Linked DNA regions of Daphnia pulex. The protein of the gene in region 1 purifies or fractionates together with the protein of each later gene. This does not show direct contact. Links are inferred from orthologs where the notes say so. Each region holds a gene or a part of one and is shown on either strand. Other genes may lie near its edges.

What was found.
Region 2: the proteins of sarcolemmal membrane-associated protein-like (region 1) and FGFR1 oncogene partner 2 homolog purify together in Drosophila melanogaster (affinity purification with western blotting; 3 studies listed by BioGRID, with this or other methods). This does not show direct contact. The link is inferred for Daphnia pulex from reciprocal best matches to the Drosophila melanogaster genes Slmap and Fgop2.

The regions. Positions count from the first base shown.
Region 1 is NC_060020.1:2,409,199-2,419,117, reverse strand, and holds the end of sarcolemmal membrane-associated protein-like, read left to right. Parts: 5' UTR 1-346; coding exon 347-508; intron 509-573; coding exon 574-711; intron 712-778; coding exon 779-926; intron 927-993; coding exon 994-1,060; intron 1,061-1,126; coding exon 1,127-1,208; intron 1,209-1,309; coding exon 1,310-1,477; intron 1,478-1,546; coding exon 1,547-1,689; intron 1,690-1,754; coding exon 1,755-1,989; intron 1,990-2,049; coding exon 2,050-2,271; intron 2,272-2,332; coding exon 2,333-2,399; intron 2,400-2,709; coding exon of another isoform or gene 2,710-2,775; intron 2,776-2,990; coding exon 2,991-3,471; intron 3,472-3,539; coding exon 3,540-3,765; intron 3,766-3,841; coding exon 3,842-3,979; intron 3,980-4,159; coding exon of another isoform or gene 4,160-4,237; exon of another isoform or gene 4,238-4,928; coding exon 4,929-5,030; 3' UTR 5,031-6,130; downstream 6,131-9,919. Other genes in the region: filamin-A-like, read left to right, coding at 9,390-9,852.
Region 2 is NC_060024.1:10,461,748-10,471,186, reverse strand, and holds FGFR1 oncogene partner 2 homolog, read left to right. Parts: upstream 1-3,609; 5' UTR 3,610-3,710; coding exon 3,711-3,724; exon of another isoform or gene 3,725-3,859; intron 3,860-4,019; coding exon 4,020-4,173; intron 4,174-4,240; coding exon 4,241-4,492; intron 4,493-4,571; coding exon 4,572-4,697; intron 4,698-4,774; coding exon 4,775-4,891; 3' UTR 4,892-5,191; downstream 5,192-9,439. Other genes in the region: protein inturned-like, read left to right, coding at 24-113, 291-368, 466-676, 781-834, 1,102-1,164, 1,285-1,467, 1,548-1,597, 1,666-1,761 and 4 more; chymotrypsinogen A-like, read left to right, coding at 5,767-5,976, 6,064-6,257, 6,350-6,518, 6,607-6,831, 6,907-7,084, 7,160-7,440, 7,501-7,537, 7,611-7,630; proteasome activator complex subunit 4-like, read left to right, coding at 8,033-8,221, 8,299-8,975, 9,036-9,340, 9,423-9,439.

The DNA.
Region 1 (9,919 bases):
CTTAACCCCTCCCTCCCTCTCCCTTTCTTATTGCTTGTGTCCTTTTTTCAGATTGTGTGTGTGCCTGTGTGGTCTGTAGAGAGAGAGAGTTTTGGCCGTAACTTTAAGCATGATTGGGGATATACTTGGGGAAATCTTGTCGAGTGAGTGTTGGTGAATAACTCCATAGATTTTGTTAGTTTAATCAATAGCCAGAGCACGGTTTTCGGGCTGAAGTGAACAGTAGTGAACTCAAGTAACACAATCTCTCTCTTGAAGTAGTCTGCATGTTATTTTCAAAATAGTGAAACGCGAGGAAGGGCGGCTCTTCACAGAGTTCGACAGTCATTAATCGAAGGCTGGTCGGATGGTTGTGATCGAATTCGACGTACCCCGATCCGTCTCTCTCTCCGCGCTGGACGAAAACAATGTGACCCTTAAAGATTCCCCCGAGAATGGGGGACAGGAATCCAACAAGATGGTTCCAAGAGCAACACTCATCTGTAGACCAAATTCACACCCTTTCCAGGTACTACACAAGCCTCTGCTAAAGCATATTTTGATCAAAGTAATAAGATATGTTATGGTTCGCAGGAGAGAAATCTCAGCCTGGAAAGTGCCATGAAAGTTGGGCGCTCAGTGGCAAGAGTGAAGCCTGCTGTCAACAATGCCATATTTGATTGTAAAGTGTTATCTAGGAACCATGCTTTGCTATGGTACAAAGATGGAAAGGTATTTTTAGAGTGTTGTATTCTATATAAGGTGCGAAAAGCATATAAATGTTTAATTTCATTTTTAGTTTTATTTACAAGACACCAAAAGCAGTAATGGCACATTTGTGAACAATCAGAGATTAAGTAAAGGATCTGAAGAATCAGCACCAAGAGAAGTGTGCTCTGGTGATATAGTACAGTTTGGAGTAGATGTTATGGAAAATTCAAGAAAAGGTATTTACCTTGAATTTAACATATTCCTAGAATGGTGCATAATCCATAATTCTTTGGAATGCTATAGTTACTCATGGTTGTATTGTAGCCACTGTAAAGCTATATTTACCTGATGGCAAAGAAGCCAAAGCCAGGTAAATTTAAAAAAACAATTTTCAACGATAGCTTGAATCTGATGAACTGTGTGTATTTTTTTTAAGTCCTTCAACTGGAATTCAAGAAGAGGAAGACAGTTGTGAACTTGGCAAACAAGATCTCTATCAGCTTAATCAATGGATACAGGTAAGGAATCTTATAAATGTTTTTTCACTATTTGTTTTATTTTATTATTTTTACTTTTTCATCCATGTTATTCATTCATGTTTATGTTTGTTAATATCTAGGAAGCAGTAATCAGAGAACAAGTATTAGAAACGAAATTAGGATCGTTGCAGCGTATTGTGAGCGCTACTCGTGAAGCAGCTGAAATGGGCTGGACGGCGCTGATGGAGGAAGATAGACTATTGACTCGAATAGAATCTCTCGAAAATCAGCTGGTCGTCTCTTCTAAAGTACGTATTTTTTATTGGATCATGGAAAAATGTTGTATTTATTTACTTTATCGCATATATTTTGTAAAGAACTTTCACGAAGACAAACTACGTGAAGAGATCCGTAAGTTGTATGACGAGAAAAACATTTATCAGGATGTTTCGAAAGAATCATTACGGAAAGTGCTCACAGAGAAAATGGAAACTTTGAAGAAGTTACAGGAAACTGAACGGTGAATACCACTTCATTGTGATTAATTAACTTCATACATTAAATCATTGTGCGTTTTCTTGACAGATCATTGAGTAACGCTGAAGACGAACGCGACAACATGAAAGAATTGAACGATAAACTGAATGAACAAATACTAGAATTAGCCGAGAAATTCGAAAAAGAATCGGAAGAGTTACAGTCGTGCAAGAAAAAGTTACAAGAAGCCGACAACCAACAACTTCGTCATGAGCAGGAGATGCAATCAAGGCAAGAAGCCCTTCGAGAAGCTCAAGAAAAAGAAACGATTCTTCTAGCTCAGGTAGATTTTTCATTCATTTCATTTCAAGTTTTTATTTGAAAGTCGTTATCTGTAAAACAGGTGGAAAGTAGACAAGCGGAAATCGATTTCACCAAAGAGCAGCTCGCCAATCTCAGACTACGTCTCGATTCAATGAAAGCAACAGAAGAATTGAAGAAGGATGAGAACGAAATAAGTGGGGATGAAGTGGAAGATAAGAGCAACGTCAAAGAAAACCAGACGGAAACATTGAGACAAAGGGTGATCCAGCTCGAGTCGCAACTTAAAACTTCCCATGCAAAGGTAAATCAATATCACTGAAACATCTTTAATGAATACTCACAGGTTTTTTGTTTTTCCTTAGAATCTAAATGGAGACTTTGTCCCAGATCCTATTGGATACAAGTCAAAAGAAGTGGATCGCCTACAAGGTATGAGTTATGTGTTACTTTATCTTGAAAGAATGTAGAATTACTTAAGAGAATCTAGAATCTTTAGAGAAATTTTCAATGTGGTATTGGACTTCTGGTTGTTTATTGAGCCTTTTTGTTTGGCTTCATCATTACTTTTTGTGATTCCTTGTGTTATAATGTCTTGCCCTTTCTCTGACTCGGTTTTTTTCTCTTTTCCGCCCAAAAAAAATTAATCCATTAAACCCCCTAGTGAGCGTAACATTGCTGCCAATCATCGCTTCCGACTTGTTCGGATACTTGACGTTTTTTTGTTAATTGATGTGTGTAGGTTCATGCACGTGGGATTGTTATCTTTACCGCAATCAGTTGGCATGTTGTAGTTTAATTTTACAAGGTGAATTGTACTAACTCTTTCTTGGCTCTACTCCAGCTTTTCATTGCGTTTTTTGCTGCTTGCCCATTTTGTTTTTTTCTCTTTCTTTGGCTGACATGGAACATTTGCTGTCTCTTTTTTCTACTCTGCTAAATTGATCGCGTCGAGCTTTACATTAGCTGTTCGCTACGAAAATGGATGATGGCTAAGTTATTCCTTTGTTTGGATTGGTGCAGAGCTTTTGGAAGAAACGCGCGCCAAGTGCCGTGTACTTGAGTCAGAAGTGGAGAGACGGCAGCTAGAGGCACAAGATGGTTGGTCTACAGCCGCACATCTACAGCAATACTTTAGAAACCTGCACAACGTTCTCAAAGGCTCATCTGAGCAGGAAGAGGAATCCGCTGATGAACCATCTGAGCTCGCTGAGCTCGTCCGTTCCAGTATCGTTTCACTCAATAATGAGTACCAAGAACTTCGAGAAGCTAATGCGAAGAATAAGGATCTTATTTCGCTATTGACCTGTAAGCAAGGAGTTTTTTTATCACTTTTTTATGCCAAATACTTCATTTGCAACAACGATATTTCAGTACGACTAAGTAATTACGAAAAGGAAGAGAAAGCCAATCGTGTCAGTGAAACCACCGCTCATAGAGGCTCAACCTCAGAATTGGAATATCTCAGGGACGAAGTTGCTATCCTCACCATCCAGTTGAAAGAGTAACAAGAAAACATTTTCTATCCATAATTAATTTTCTATTTAACCTTTTTTATTTATTTATTTTTAGGATGGAAGTGTCGAGGATAGAGCAAATTGAGGAACGCCAGAAATGGCAACAAGCCTACCAGTCGCTAGCTCTCAGCGTAGAGAATCGGGACAGTGGAGTGGTTAGCGGATTTAGCAGTCCAATCAGTAATCCACCGAGTTCCCGTGATCCTGAAATGAGAGATTCTGGCATCCGGGAACTTAATTCCGGAGAAGATGCTAATTCGGAAGAATATGTTACCATGCAGGTAAAACGAAATTTTATTTGAAAATTTCTTGAGGCACAGTTTTTAATTTATGTTTTTTTGTTTTTGTTATTTTAAGCAATTGTCTGAGGTACGAAACGAACTCGAAGCTTTACGGCGCCACTACGATAATGTACAAACGGAAAAGAAGGAGCTAGAAGAAGAATTCTCCCAGTTAAAGGACAACTACTCGTTACTATCTTCTCAGTCAAAAACGGTAAGTCCAGTCAGTCTCCGTTTCTTCCAAATCTTCTTTCACTGTTTTATGCACAATTTTAATTTGTAAGTTTTCTTCATTATTCTTTGGTTCGTTGATAATTCTATCCATCCATTCTTCTTTTTTCTTTTCTGTTCTCTTTATTTTTCTTTTCTTTTGAATGCCGAATGCATTTTCTAGGTTGGCCGCTGGATGTATGTAGTCCCGTTGGCCGTCCTTGTCTTGGCGGTCCTCATAGCTTTCAGGCCATCGGATTGAAATAACGATAAATTAAAAGACAGAAAAGGGGAAGCACCAATTCTATTTCATCCTTTGTCTTCCTTTAGAAAACTAAATGTGTGTGCCTTCTAAAAGACATATTCTTTTTGTCAGCTGAGAGTCCGTCAACTCTTGTTTTTTCCTCACGTGAAACTGAACGAAGAGGGAATAAGAAAAGGATTTGAACACAAAACAAATAAGAAGCTATTTGAATTCTTCGATAGTCTGCTTGATTTTGGATTCTCCTTTTCTCTCTCGCTTAGGTTCTGTTTTCTCACATTTTTTTTCTTCAGCTGTATTTGTTACCTTCTTATTATTGGCTTTCTTTTCTCTCGTTCGTCGACTTGTGTTTATGTGCCTTCAAAATTTATTTTAGAGATGAATTTATTGTTTTTGTTAGTTCAATATCCGTGGCCAAAAAACAACGCAAACAAAAACAACAAAACATTTTTCGCTCTGTATGTTTGCTTCGATTTACTTTATTCTTTAACTTTCATTTTTTTTTCTCGTCTTAAACTAACACCGCATTGACGTAAGAAATTTATGCTAACGGTGGACATTAGAGAACAAAAAAAAGCTGATCCATCGATTATTTTCCTTTCTCTTTTTCTCTGTTTGTTTGTTTTTTTTTGTTTTTTTTTTTGCTGTGCCTCTTGTTTTTTTTTCGTGTTTGTCTGCGCGTTTTCTGTAGGCGACGGCGTTGTGTCTCATGCCCTTGCTCGTATTGTTCATCTCGTTCTTCCTGGCCTTCTACCGCTTCTTCTCGCGGCTGACGGCTACATTCGAGCCCTGAGAGATTTTGCCGGACAACACGGAAGAAAAATAAGGAGAGAGACAATAACAGCAACAACAAAAACATCATCATCATCATCAATTGTTTTTTTCCTGTTCTTCTACCGATTGTAAGCTTTTTTTTTTTCAATTACTTCTATCTACGCAAATGGCGGGATATGCAGATAATATCCCTTTTTTCGTGTTTTCTTTTGAAACATATTTGCTAGCGACAGCAGCTTTTTAATTTTACCAAGTGCCATCAATATGACAAAAGAGTGATGTCATTAACTAGTGTGTGTTTTCCGTCAACGCTACAGAAAATGGCTTAGTCTCCTTTCTGTGTGTGTATGTAAAACGTACAACGTCGGTGGGGAGGGGGAGAGTCGAATCCTCTTTCCTCCACCTTCTAACAGGACCTGTGCAGAGTTATTTTTTCCTTTGCTATCTCTCTCTCTCTCCATGATTTTCTACTGTCACACAAAACACACACCCCTCCGAAGAATGTTGTTCCTCTTTGTTTTTCAAATGCTTAGTTTTACGGCATAGTTGGCGTGCAATAATAGGCTCCCCTCAATGATTTTTCTTCCTTTTTTTTTTTTTCTTTTGCTGTCCGTCCTACCTCTGTCTATCCACCAGCTCATTATCGTCGACATCTTTCTCTTGTGTGTGAGGGAAAGTTTAATATTTTTCTCACCAGCCAACGACATTATTTTCAGCTTCGCGCGTCTTCGACTTGAAAGAGTAAGAGTGGATCACATAATATTGATTTGATGGGTCATTGATTTACTCGTTCTGCTCCCCAGTTTTGTGTCACGTTTCCTCCTTAAGGTCTTTGGCGGATAACCGTCCGGCGAGATGGATAACCATCGCTGGGAGGCCTCGGATCTTAAGGAGTTTATGAAAAATTTCAACCAACAACAAACATGTTCTATGTTTTGTAGTCTAGTCCTCTTCTACGGATATTGTACACACTCCCCATTTTCTCTCTTTACTATCCCACCTGCCCCTGCCCCGTGTCCTGTTATTTAACTCGCCCCATTAAACATCAGCAACAAAAAAAAAAAGAAAGAAGAGAAAATGAAAAGAAACTAACAAGACAATACAATACTTTGTTTTTTTCTTTCTTGGTCTGGATCTATGACCGAGTATTGATGCTCATCGCGCTGCGGAACCGAAAGATTATCTGAAGACAATCGTATCGGTTCTGTTTTCGTGAAGCGGATCGGAACGACTTTTATGTACATTTTCTTCTCTCATGCAAGTAAGTATAGATGATATGCTGTTTCTTCGTGTTGTAGTTCAAGGTGGCAGCGAAAGCGAGTTGCGGTTATATCCCCGACGTTTTCGTAACTTTCCACTCGACACTGAAGAGTATAGCGCACAGCACGATTCGTATGAAATTCCGTTATTTTATTATTCATCGTTTTTTGTTACGATCCAAGATTTTCTTTGCCTTCCTTTTTGGTCAAACTTGATGTGGAATGATGACCAGCCGAGAGCCAGCTGGACAATCGTGCACGGCTGGAAATGAAATCCCGCCGTGCGCTCGGCTATGCTGTTGCCGTTGGTTCTGTGTGTGTGTGTGTGTGTGGTGCGTCGTTGAGCGTGTTGAGTGTAAGTACTTTTTTCACCTATTTGAACATCGAGCGCGGGCAAAAAGAGATTTTTTCCCTCGACGCGTCTATATAAGGATCGACCGTTCCGGCGGAGGAGAGAGGAGAACGCGGGGAACAAAAAAAAAAAAAGAATAACGCACGCGTGCAGAGTGAGACGTTGAGTGTCTGTGTAGAATAGAAGCGTAGCTTTTCTTTGATGGAAAAAAAAAGAAGGAAATCCTTTTTTGAAAAAGTCGAGTTCCAACATCGTAAATAATGTATTATTGTTTCAGAAAGGGGAGAAGAAAAGGTGCGGAGAGAGTACATCATCGTGGTCCGCTGAACCGAACGCTGAAAATGCCTTACAGCCTTCGGGACGGCCAGCGATGGAGGCCGTCGTCGTCTATCGCTGTTGTCGCAGTCGATTGTGAGGAGCGGGTGAGACGTAACGGAACAACTGGAAGCGGCCGCGACATTTTTGTCTGTCGGTGTAGTTGGATTAAAGTTGTGCGTGTGCGGAGGAGGGCAATTTCGAACGACGTGTTCAGACGTCGAATTCCCTGGCCCATTTAAGGTCTTTCCGAATCGGAGTTAACGATTTTGTCAACAGTTCTCAGTTTTTAAGGTATGTGTCTTTTTTTTTTTCTCTTTTATTTGGTTGCTCTGCACGTCATAGCGATATACGTTTCGAACCGTGAATGAATCATCCCCGTATAAGTAGACTGTGGGGTCACCTCCCCTCGGCTCCTTTTTATTTTTCTCTTCATCTTTTTTGTTTTCCCAACTGCCTCCTATGTGCTGTACCACTTCCTAACCTCTGCCGTTCTTTTCGGGGGCTGTTGTCAGTCGGTGTGGGAGGAATGTCTCTCTTCACTCCTACCGACGACGACGACCCCCCCCCCCTCCTTCTACCGCCTCCTCCTCCTCCACCCGCGCACGCTATGGCGAAGAATTTCTGAAACGGTGATGGCGTGGGCTATTTTTAAAAAAATCCGTCGTAGAGACGAACGGGATCTATGCAAGAGAGTAGTCCGGAGCGGCTACATTATAAGAGAAACGACGGCGCAGCCCTCCCACCACCCCGAAAAACCTACAAACCAAAAAACCTTTCGCTCTCTCTTCTGTCTACAACAGACGTCGACACAGACACACGCCACTTTTTCTCGCATTCGCTCTCATCGTGCCGTGCAGTGAGGGTAAACGCTTGCCATATTAGCCGTTTTGCGTCTGTGTTGGTCCAGTTGGTCCAGAGAGTTGCAGCACCCCTGCCCCTCTCGAGAGCATCGGGCCGTTCCCGGTCGGTAAAAGCCCAGAACAAACGGAGATTGATCGGGGGAGAAAAAGAAAAACAAAAAAAACAATCGTATCGGATATTCTTAGCAAACCAACAAAGGATTCGTCACCGTCAATTCCGTAAGAATCTTTTAACATTGTTTTTTTTGTTCACCTTCCTTTCTGTTGTGTTTAAAAAACAGACAAATTCTTCCATTTCGTTATTGGATCCTCGTTTGTTTGCGTCGTCGTCAATGGAATGACGACGACGAGGGCGCTTAGTTACACGGATGACAAGACGTGACAAGTTAGTGGAATCCAATCAACTTTTGTGCTGTTTGTTGATACGGTCCTGGCCGATCCTCGTACCGGAATCGGTGTCGCTTGGCGCCGCCAGCGCCATCTATGGGCACGCATCTCGTATGCACGTCAGCAGAGGAATGAAGATGAACATGTCGGCAGAAGGCGGCTTTAGGGCTCATTCCGCAATGTTGGGCAATCAATTCGTCAGAGTCCTTTTATGGAATGAAAAGCGAAGGAAAAATGAAGACAAGTTGTTGTAATAATGAACGAAGAAAAGAAGATTGGCAACAAAAGCCGAAATCTCGGCAATATCCTGCCGACTGACCCAAATCTGATAGAGTGCTGACGTACAAACCACCTACTACTGTTTTACACTTTTTTCCCCCCTTTTTGTAAACGCATTCGCCAAATGAAATTGCCGGTAAAATAACATCATTAAGCAGCCCAGATACGAGCGCTTAATTGCTGTCTTGGGGAAGAATAATAACTCGCTGTAGGAAATAACTTAACCTACTACTCCTTTGGGCTTTCAGAAACGAATCAAATTAATCATTTCTTATTTTGGTATGTACCAGTTGACAGGTAATTGCTTTACCGCAGGTGGTGATTGGATTACAACATTGCGTTCGTTTGTTATACCCCATTCATTTTCTGTGCTGTAGTTTCTGTCGTCGGCAATGACGAATTTTTTTTAAATTTAGCGGCGAGCTTATAAGTGATCCAGCTGTTCTCATTCCATCCTTAAAGCGGAGGGGGGAAAGAAACCAAACGGAAAAATATGAAAGAGAGGGGGGGGGGGGATAAACGTGCCACCACCAAACCACGCCCGTCAATCTGTTCCTATTTTCTTTTGTTTCCATTCCAACGAAATGAATCATTTATCCCAAATAGATATTTCTCTTTTCTAAAAGCTAGAAACTAATTTCCTGACATTTTTTTTCGTCCGTTTGTTCAAGGTTTCCTTTGATTTCTTCCGCTATTAGGTAATATTGCGTCATGTTGCACAATTAATGGTCTTTTTTTGAATTCGATTGAAATTAGACTCAACAGGTGGCGATTGAATCGCCAAAGGAGCGAAGCCGAGAGACAAGCGTGATTGGACCGAACCCATCGGTCGGTGTGTTCGTGTGTGTGCGACTCTGGTCTTGTGGCCTCTATCTGAATAGCCCGGCGGGCGGGAGCAAAGCGGCAGCTACAGGCTTTACACCATGAGTCAACAGGGAGGAGATGTCAGTTTGGCCCGCGACAGCCCGGCCGAGCAGGTGGTCTCGTCCGTCATTAGCCAGTTACAACAGCAGCATCAGCAGCAGCAGCAGCAACTTCAACAGCAAGAAGGAGCAGGCAATCAACAACAGAGCAGCGCCGAAGACGATCAAGTCATGGTGGCAACGGAACGAGATCTGGCCGAGGATGCCCAGTGGAAGCGCATCCAGCAAAACACATTTACACGATGGGCCAACGAGCACCTGAAAACCGTCGACAAATTCATTGGCAGTTTGGAGACGGACCTGTCGGACGGACTCAAACTGATCGCCCTCGTCGAAGTCTTGTCCGGCAAGAAATTGCCCAAGCACACCAAGAAACCCACCTTCCGTTCGCAGAAGCTCGAGAACGTTTCCGTGGCTCTGAAATTCCTGGAGCATGACGAAGGCATCCGCATCGTCAATATTGGTGAGTCCCATTTTATTTTTATTTTTAAATTTTATTCCGTAATTTTTCTGTGGATTTTCTGTTCGTC
Region 2 (9,439 bases), on another chromosome or scaffold:
ATTTTCTTTGTGATGTTTCGCAGTTCGACTGTTATCCTCGACGGAATGATCGTCCATCTCGTTTACATCGTCGAAGGATCCGTCCTATTCCTCATCGGAGCTCCTTCCATTTGGTTAATCTCTCTCTCTATTTTTCTTTTCTTTTTTTTTTTAACATTTTATTTTTAAAATGATGTGCACTCGAGCGCCTCTGGCGTCAATTCCTATTTTTTTTTTTATTATTTAGGAGCCGGCGGTTTTATTGATTCCCCCCTTTTTTTTCTCTTTTTAAAATTTCTTTATTTAACCAGGTGTAGTCGCATCGAGCTGCAGATGACGGCCAAACAGCTGGCGTCGCTATTCCGTTTCCAGTATGGCTCCATCCGCAGGTTTCTGTTTGGAAATTTTATTTTGTCGAGTCAATTGGAACGACGACGCCGATCGATTTCACATTTGTTTTTGAATTTTTATATTAAAAATAAAAAGGGCATTGACTGAACCGCGACTGGCAGGCGAAATCCGTCGCATGGTCGACTCTCTCTTCCATTGGCTCCAGCAAGGAGCCGGCGCTAGGAGCGTCGGAAATGCATCGACCGTTAGCCCAGGGGGCAGTAACGACATGAGCCGGCCATTCAATCGACTCTCCAACTACTTCGTCACCTGCGGCCAATGGCTCCCGCTACCTCCCGAAAGTCACGTAACGATCCATCTATCCATCCAGTCGTAAATTGATGATTGATTGCACCCCCAACTCTCTCTTTTTTTCTTTCTTTCCAACCCAAATGTGTGTACCGTGTGCAGCTGGACGTGACGTTAACTCTCAACCAAATGGAAGCCATCGATTACGAGGACTGGGTAAGAAGGCAGAGAGCTGAGCAATGTGTGCAACCAGAAAAGAATATGACGACATTCGCCCCCCTCCTCGATAGCAAATCTATGGCGCTTGTCACATACTCTGAATAGAAGAATAACGAGTCAGATTGAAAAAAAGACAGACTCACTTTTCTGTCCTTTTTTCCCCTTTTCTTTCACAATGTCGATCGACCGTATTAGATTATTAGACATTTATTTGGCCCAGTGTGTGTAACCTTTTTCTCTACTATTTGTGATTTGTGGGCACAGGATGAAGAGTCAATCAGCATTCAACGATGCGCTACCATCACCGGATCGGCCGTGTATTGTCAGGTTGGGTGGATCATTGGATATAATTTCATTTGTCCTTTTTTTTTCTTCTTCGTCCGTCCGTCCTTGTTACCTTCCCACAGTTGAACATTATTCAAGCGTTGTGTGTTTACTTCACTGCAGGGTTATCTGGTGGCTTCGACAATGGCAGCCAAGCGACTGGAAGAGATCGGCACTTTTCTCAAGTGGAACCAGATCTTGGAGATGAGCCATCGCCGTCGATTGAGCAGCTTGATTATCTGGCGCCAAGTGTTCCCAGAGTCTGAAGATGCTGGAAATCAATCCTTTCTTGTCGTCGTCGGATCGGTGGGGCTCTCTCTCTCATTAGATAGTCAAGACGGAGATTACATTTCTCGAAATGATGATTTATTTTTCTTTTCTTTTAGGGTCACATTCTCGTTGTTGCTCTACTAGAGTCGGGAGGCGTTACCCAATCGTAATTTGATTTTCTTTACGGTTCTTTTACCTTGTTTGCCCGTCGATAAATCTCGATTGACTTTTCAGGTGGGATCATTATCCAGATACTTTTCTCATTGAAGAAATGCAGTTTTTCCTGCAGGAATTGCAGTACCTCGACCTAGAAACGACCTGCAATCAAATGTAATTTGTTTTAATGAATTAAGTTATAATTAAATTTGGAATGAAGAAAACAATTGAATAATTCCCTTTTGCGATCGTTAAAGATTGAACGGACCACAGAATCCGGCCCTGGTCACGAATCTCAGCCAAGTTTCTGAATGTACAACGCCGATATCTTCGTCACCCGAGTCGGAAATGCCGACCTTTAGGTACTTCCGTTGTTTTATATCATCGCGCTCAGCGACGCCCAGTTGGAAGCTCAGCAGGTACACAGCATTTATTCCTTTTGACTATAAAGACGAATAAAATGCTGTTTGACCTCGCTCGATTTTCTAACAGGAGAAAATTATTTTTGTCTTTTTTCCTTGACATATCCCCCTCCAACTTTCCGCTTTGTTTTTTTTTTTTTTTTTTTTTTTGTTTGATTGCAATTAATAGCATCACTCCAGGGCTCAGGCCAACCATGATCAATTACCTGTCGATGGATTTCGGTACAGGTGTATTCGTCGCCCCGACCATCTTGAACGCTGGAACCAGGTTTATCGATCAATTTCAGAAAACTTGTCTGACGATTCACAATTTATTTCAGCGAACTCTTAAAGCTAAAGTAGGTCGACCCAATACAAATTCAAGTGCCTAGAATTTGATGAAAAACAAATATTGATTTCAACTCGTCCCCGTTTTTTTTACTTTTATTTTTTTACAGATGGATTTACAAAGGCCCGATTGGGGTGGCCCTTGGTCTGATAAGAGTTTAGTGGCACTTCAAGAGGTCTCGGTTGTTTTTACAGTCACTGAATCTCCTCCCAGTCCCGGCAGCGGGACGAAATCGACCCCGATGAGCGACAGTTTTTGGGTCACTGGGTGCGGTGATGCTTTTTCAACTTCACATCGATCGATCTAGCTAACCCATTGTAACTTTTACTTTTTCTTTTTGTGCGTGGGTGTCGGATTTTAATTTTAGGAGGCTGTTTCTATCCCCTGTTCATCGGGAGCTGTTCATTTGCCACCAAGATGGCGTAGCACAGGATATTTTGGATCTTGCCTTCCATTTAGCATTCGGAGCCGTCCTTTAAAATAGATTTTCCTGGATACTCATCGAATTACTACAAAAAAATGTGTTTTCCTATTATAGTGTGTGCTCGTTTCTTGTTATTTATTTTATCCGCATAATGTGTATGCCAGGGCATGGCCTACTCTATGGTTAAGGCCTGTAGACTTGTATCCACTGCCATGAAGGCGAGAGGCGTGGCCAAATTCCCTAGCCCTGTCCCTGTGAGAGCCAATCAGGCGAAAAATGGAGGTTACAACTTCGCCATCTGGCGTTTTAAGATGTAAATCTCGTTGTAAAGTAATGAAGGCGTAATAACAAATTGTTAGATGCCACGAAATGCGTTTTTCCTACTAAGTTCAACAGCAGATGTTGAGGAAAACGACTAAATAGGATAAAAAGGACATGTGCATAATTCCAGCAAAATTTTTCGAATAAATTATTCCGTGAAACACAACCTTTGTTATAAACTGCAAATTAAAAAGATACCTCCCAACCGAGAATTGAACGCCGCGCCGTGGTGTGGTAGCTGACATTGCTATCCATACGGCTACCACTGCTATGAAACACTCGAAGAAAAATTTATTATATCTAGCTACCTAACCATTCTAACGAGATAGCAGTATTGAACGACAGATGGCGAAGTTGTAGCCTCCATTTTTCGTCTGATTGGCTCTTGCCCGGGGAAAGGATAGGGAATTTGGCAGATCCTCTCGCCTTCATGGGGCAGGATTCAAGTTTACAGGCCTTAACCATTAAGTAGGCCATGGCCAGGGGAAGCCTTTTCCCGGGCGCACCTTTAATTTTTCTCGCCAGATGTCGCCACGATCGAATGTTGATTATTTATTTTTTCATGAGATATTGTAATCTGTTGTTTGCTGATATATTTCGAGTTGATGAAAAGTAAAACATAAATCGAATGAAATACGAAAGGTAAATCTCTATCATGTCCCTTTTATCACCGGTTTGTTGTCGTGATAAGAAAATCAGTTATTTGCTCGAAAAGGGTGTCGGGATAACAACCAAGCAAACACGTTCGTAGTTTGCGTGGGCCCAGTTATGAGATTTGTAAGTTGTTGAATCGACATGGAAATCGATGAAAACTATCTCTTCGATTAACTGATCGATGCACCAATGTTTATAGTCTGCTTCAGATGCCATAACTTTTTTAACTTACAATAAACTCACACTTACATACCAGTTCTGCTGTTTTTCTATTTCCATGTAGTCCCAAGCAGGCAAACAAAATGTCTGTGTCTGTTCAACAAATTCTTGCTGATGCCAAACGACTAGCTGGACGCCTGAAAGACCACGACTCCTCTGCAGATTTGCTTCTGTCGCAAGCTCAGGCAATGTTTTGTCAAGTGGATGCCATGAAAGAGGTACACGGTTGGGGGTTGGTGATAGCTTGTGGCAGTAATTTTTTTCAAATTATTGCTTCTTCTTTAGTACCAAGAAGAATTGGTTGAATTGAACACAGCTGCTCATCAAAGACCACATTTGGATCTCATAGCCAATATTCAGCAAGAAAACCGACAATTGAGAGCTTTAGAAAATGAAAACAAGGAACTCAAGTCAGCTCTTGAAGAGCATCAAAATACTCTTGAGCTTATAATGAGTAAATACAGACAACAAATAAGCCGTTTACTTGAAGCAAGTCACACAGAAAAGAACTTGGTTCATCTTCTCCCAGACACAAGAGTAAATAATACCTAATAATTTATTAATAATCTTACATGGCATGAGATTAATGAATTCCTTATTGTGATGGTCTATTCAGAAGGCTGAAGAACAGGCAGAGAAAATCAATGACATGATTGGGGTCATGGAGACAGCTATAAAGTTGGATGACAGTTATGTACAAAAGGAAATTGAACTGTTTTCAAAATTGACAACTGAAAATCGGGTAACCAGAAGAGCTGTTCGGAACGTCTTTTAAATTTTAACGTGTAAATTTCAATAATTTTCATCATTCTTATGCAGGGACTGAAAGAGCTTTTGGACATAGCAAGTCATAACGGGTCATTGAGAAACTCTCTTCTGGGTATTAAAAGCGAGGATAAAGAGATCCAAGCCGATGTTTCTTGTTTGAACCCTTGATCTCCGAAAAACAAAGGAAAATCAAATAGCGTTACAAAAAAACAAACATACGATAGATTCGTTAATTACGTTCGCAATATATAATTAATTATCTATACCTTAAAATCTGAAGATTCTTCGTCACATGATACTTCTCCTCTATACTTTGTCCTCTACGCTTTCCTTGCACGATGTTTCACTTTTATCCCGTGTATTAATTAAAGTTTCAAATAACTCCATAAATTTTTTTTTTGTGTTCTAAAGAAATAACTAGATGTTGCTTGGCTATAGGTTGATTGCAATAAACTCGTGTTTCATGTCGTTGACTCTCCTGCCAGCGTACTCATCTTCAATCCTCACATTTAAAACCTTTTTCAACCCTCCGAAGGTCACCAACCCGCAAAGTCCAGGTATGCTCCCCCGACTAATATGTTGTTTAAAATTGTGGTATATAGTTTAAATACTCGAAAGACCTTGAGAATGGTATACAACTGGACCAAGTTTTACCAAATTTGTGTACACAAACCAATCCAGGTCAAAGTTTTCTTTTATTACTACAGGTAAAAACGGACAAAACAAAATTACTCTCAACCCGAGAGCGCGAAAATGTATACGTGTTTCAGTTTATGTGGAAAGTTCTATTTATTCAGATCGACAGTGTCCTCGTTGCGTTGTGGTTTGTGCGCCGAAGAAGACAATCACCCGCAACAGAAAAGTATTTTGCAAATGCAAACAGTTTTCAAATGTTGCGTGAAACCGCGTAACTAGTGACGTCTTCACCGCGGCACTTGAGTCAATATTAATGTCCTGTTATTAACGGCAACCCTATCCACCGCATCACTCGGGAGTCATACATATTTATAGGAGCCGGATTTAGATTGGCAGTTCATTACAACATGAACGTTTTATTCATGCACACCGCCTCGTCCCGTCTGTTCTCCTCTGTTTGGGTGATTGCCCTGCTGTCAGGTTGTCTGGGCGAGCTGAGACCCGCTTTGCATATCAACCAGACTGTTCTGAGCATCAGCGACAATAATTCGTCAGCGCAGTTACGTCAATACACATGTGGTACAACTACGACTGTGTACGTCTCCAAAGGATATCAGGTAACTAGATTATTGTTGCATACATTTCTGCTTATTCCAGTTGGAGATTCAAGTGAAATTGATGTTGGAATCTTTCGCGTTTTCAAGGGACGTTTTGCATCTCCGAATTATCCCAATTTGTACAGCGGAGGGGCTGATTGTTTATGGACATTGACTACATCGACTGACGCTCAATTCACGCTCATTTGCGACCCGCTATCCATTTCCTGTACCGGAGACTATCTCCTGTTTTCGCCCAGTGGAGACACGGCATTCAGAGATGCTGCCAACCCCATATGCGGGTATAATTCATTTAATTTACCTAGCTATTTAAAATAGACTGTGATTCTTTAATGAACAATTACGTATACATATACGACGCGCGTTTATGCAGGAGTGGGAGGTTACAAGTGACGTCAAAGGCAAATTCTATCGCGATCGCATTTCATTCGTCCTATTACACGAATGGCGGTGGTTTCTCTTGTGTCGCCCAGGCTCAAGCTCCGCCCACTACTTCTACCCTTGCGCCTACTCCGAATTGTCAATGCGGAATCAAGGGACAGGTATAATTTAATTCTTTGATAAAGTCACTTTTTTTGTACGTACTTTCGATTTCACGGAGATTTATTCACGGTTCGCTCGCTTATGTAGAACCGCGTAGTTGGGGGTCAAAGTGCTGGAGTAACCGAATGGCCCTGGCAGACTTTATTGGCTGATATCAGTCCGTCTGGCGGAGGCAACCAATATTGCGGGGCGACTTTGATCTCGCCAAATTGGGTTCTCACGGCCGCTCACTGCACTCACAATCGAATTGCAGCCAATATTGGAGTCGTTGTGGGACAATACGACACGAAAAGCTTGTCGTCAACCTCACAGGTCCCTTTTCTCTATCAATTGTTTTATTTGTTAATCCTTTTTCTCAATTGATTTTTTCTACGTCGTCCAATATAGGTCCGCAGAGTGAGTCAAATTGTTCAACATCCGAATTTTAATCGAACGACCGTCAACCATGATATCGCTCTGCTTAAACTTGATTCGCCTGTTAGTCTCACTGCAGCCGTTCGACCCGTCTGCCTACCGACTCGTTTTGTTAATTACAATTTCGACAAACAAATCGGAACTGTTACCGGTGATTTAAAAAACAAACATACCAAACTTTTTCTAATGCATTTTCTATAATCTTATGTCTGTGTAATCCATCCAGGGTGGGGAACAACGAGCTTTGGTGGAACAGCTTCGCCGAATTTATTAGAAGTTGCGCTGCCAATTATTTCGACTGAAAACTGTCGGCTCAATTCGATTGTTGGATCCAAGATTACTGAGAACATGTTCTGCACTTATGCCGAGAATAAAGATGCTTGTCAAGGAGATTCCGGAGGTCCGTTGAATTGGATTGATCCTCAAACAGGTCTAGGGTACATCGTTGGAATCACCAGCTTTGGGATCGGTTGTGCAAAACTCAATACACCTGGCGTCTATACGAAAGTAATTATTCGAACTTATTTCTCTCAAGATTTAATACTGATTGCTCTTTTTGTGTGCTAGGTTACTAATTACCTATCATGGATTCAACAAAACACAGGTATCCTGTATCCAAATAGTCCAAAGTAATTATCCCTCAAACTAACGATTTTTGTTTGTTAATTGTCATATAGGGACTATTTGTTCGGTGTAATAAGACCATAGCGCATGATAGCGCATGCACGGAGCATAGGAAAGCACTAAAACTATTATTATTCCTACCTTATTTGCTTGCAAAATGTTGAATTTTATCCGTGACTATAATAAACGCATTATTTCTTTCGACGATAAACGTGGTTTAAGTTTCATCCAGTTGAAGAATAAATTCTCGAGTCATTATATAATGAAACAGACGATTTTAAGGTATGGCAACCAAACGAAACCTTTTAACCAATAAGAGAGACGTTGCTATGGCCGAATTTTGATAGGTGGTAAGTTTTTCCTTTTTCGTCTGCTAGGAACCACTGAAAGAGTGAATTGCAAATTTTCAACAGAGTAAGTCATTCAGTTTTGCCTAGAAAGAGCTGTGTGAGTCAGTCAGTGATTATATTCAGTCATGGAAATGGAGGTCGAATCTATCGACGACAAGGAAGAAATTAGACACAAAAAACTGGGGTTTCGTCCCCAGAAGGAATTGATATTTAACAAGTTTCTTCCTTACTCGGATGGAATCGACGAGGAATCCCAATCATTCCTTACTGAAATCAAATTGAATTTGTCCAGAGCAGTCTTATTTCGTGAATTGGTAATATTCTAAGAAATAATAACCTCATAATAAAAAGATGTGATATATTTATTCATTTTGTTGTTTTTATCTTACAGAGGCCAGGAGTTGTGACATGGACTGGTAGGCTGATTCGTTACATTAATTTGTATGGGCTCAAGTTTAGTAAAGAAGATCACATCAAATTCATTAAGCTCTATTATGATCTCATCATTATACCTGGATTGGAAGCCTCCATGATTTCTCTGTTTGCAAGCACTCTTAGTAGTTTGCTCAAGAAGCAGTATTTGATCAGTCCTGCAGAGCTCCAGCTTCCATGGAAACCCCTTTACAAATTAATGAAGACAATTCTTGACTCCCCGTACGAAGATGTTGGCCTGTATTATATTCCGGCTTCCATGGATTCAGTATTGAGAACTGTAGTGAAGCTGTGCCGTGATTACTTCCATATTGGAGCAACAGAAGAAATGTTGGCAGAATGGAGACCTCTGCTTTGTCCCTTTGACATGACTATGCCCATGGGTGTTAGCTTACTTGCAGCTTTCTTACCAACCAAAATTGAACCCAAGAACCATCAGCAGGGTTATCTTCTCTGGTTTGATGAGTTTATGGGCCTTTGGAAGATGTGCCACAACAAACCAAGCTGGGAATTTGATTTTTTGCTCCTGTTCTCCCGGCTTGCAGATAACAATATTGGCTATATTAACTGGGAGCCTGTTATGCCATTGATGTTCTCCAAAATTCTGAATAATTTTGGTTTACCAGTTGGTTACAGGTAAATTCATTGAAAGAGCCTGCCTTATTTCTGACTCCTAACAAGTTCTGGTATTTCTAGGCATCAGAGAGGACAAATTGGTCACAAATTTGATCTTGGAGCAGTTGTTACATGGATTGTTGCCTCACTTGGAGGTGGTAGCAATTGCCAAGATCATTTAGATGCATTATTTAAAGCTATCAACAGTTACTACCATCCATCCAATGTTGGTACGTGGCACACGAAACTCAACGATTTTTTGCGCCGTCTGCCTGCAGCTTTTGTAAAACGACTTCATCGAGAGCGTTCCAACAAGAAAAGTTGGTTAACTCCAACTCCGGAAAATGCAAAACTGACAGAAACAGACATCACTCGTTTCGTTGAAAGTAATAAATGGGTCCATATGAGATATTTTTGTCCCATTTTCTCAATTTACATGTAATTTAATCCTCTTCAATTCTTTTATAGGCGTTCTTCCAGTGGCC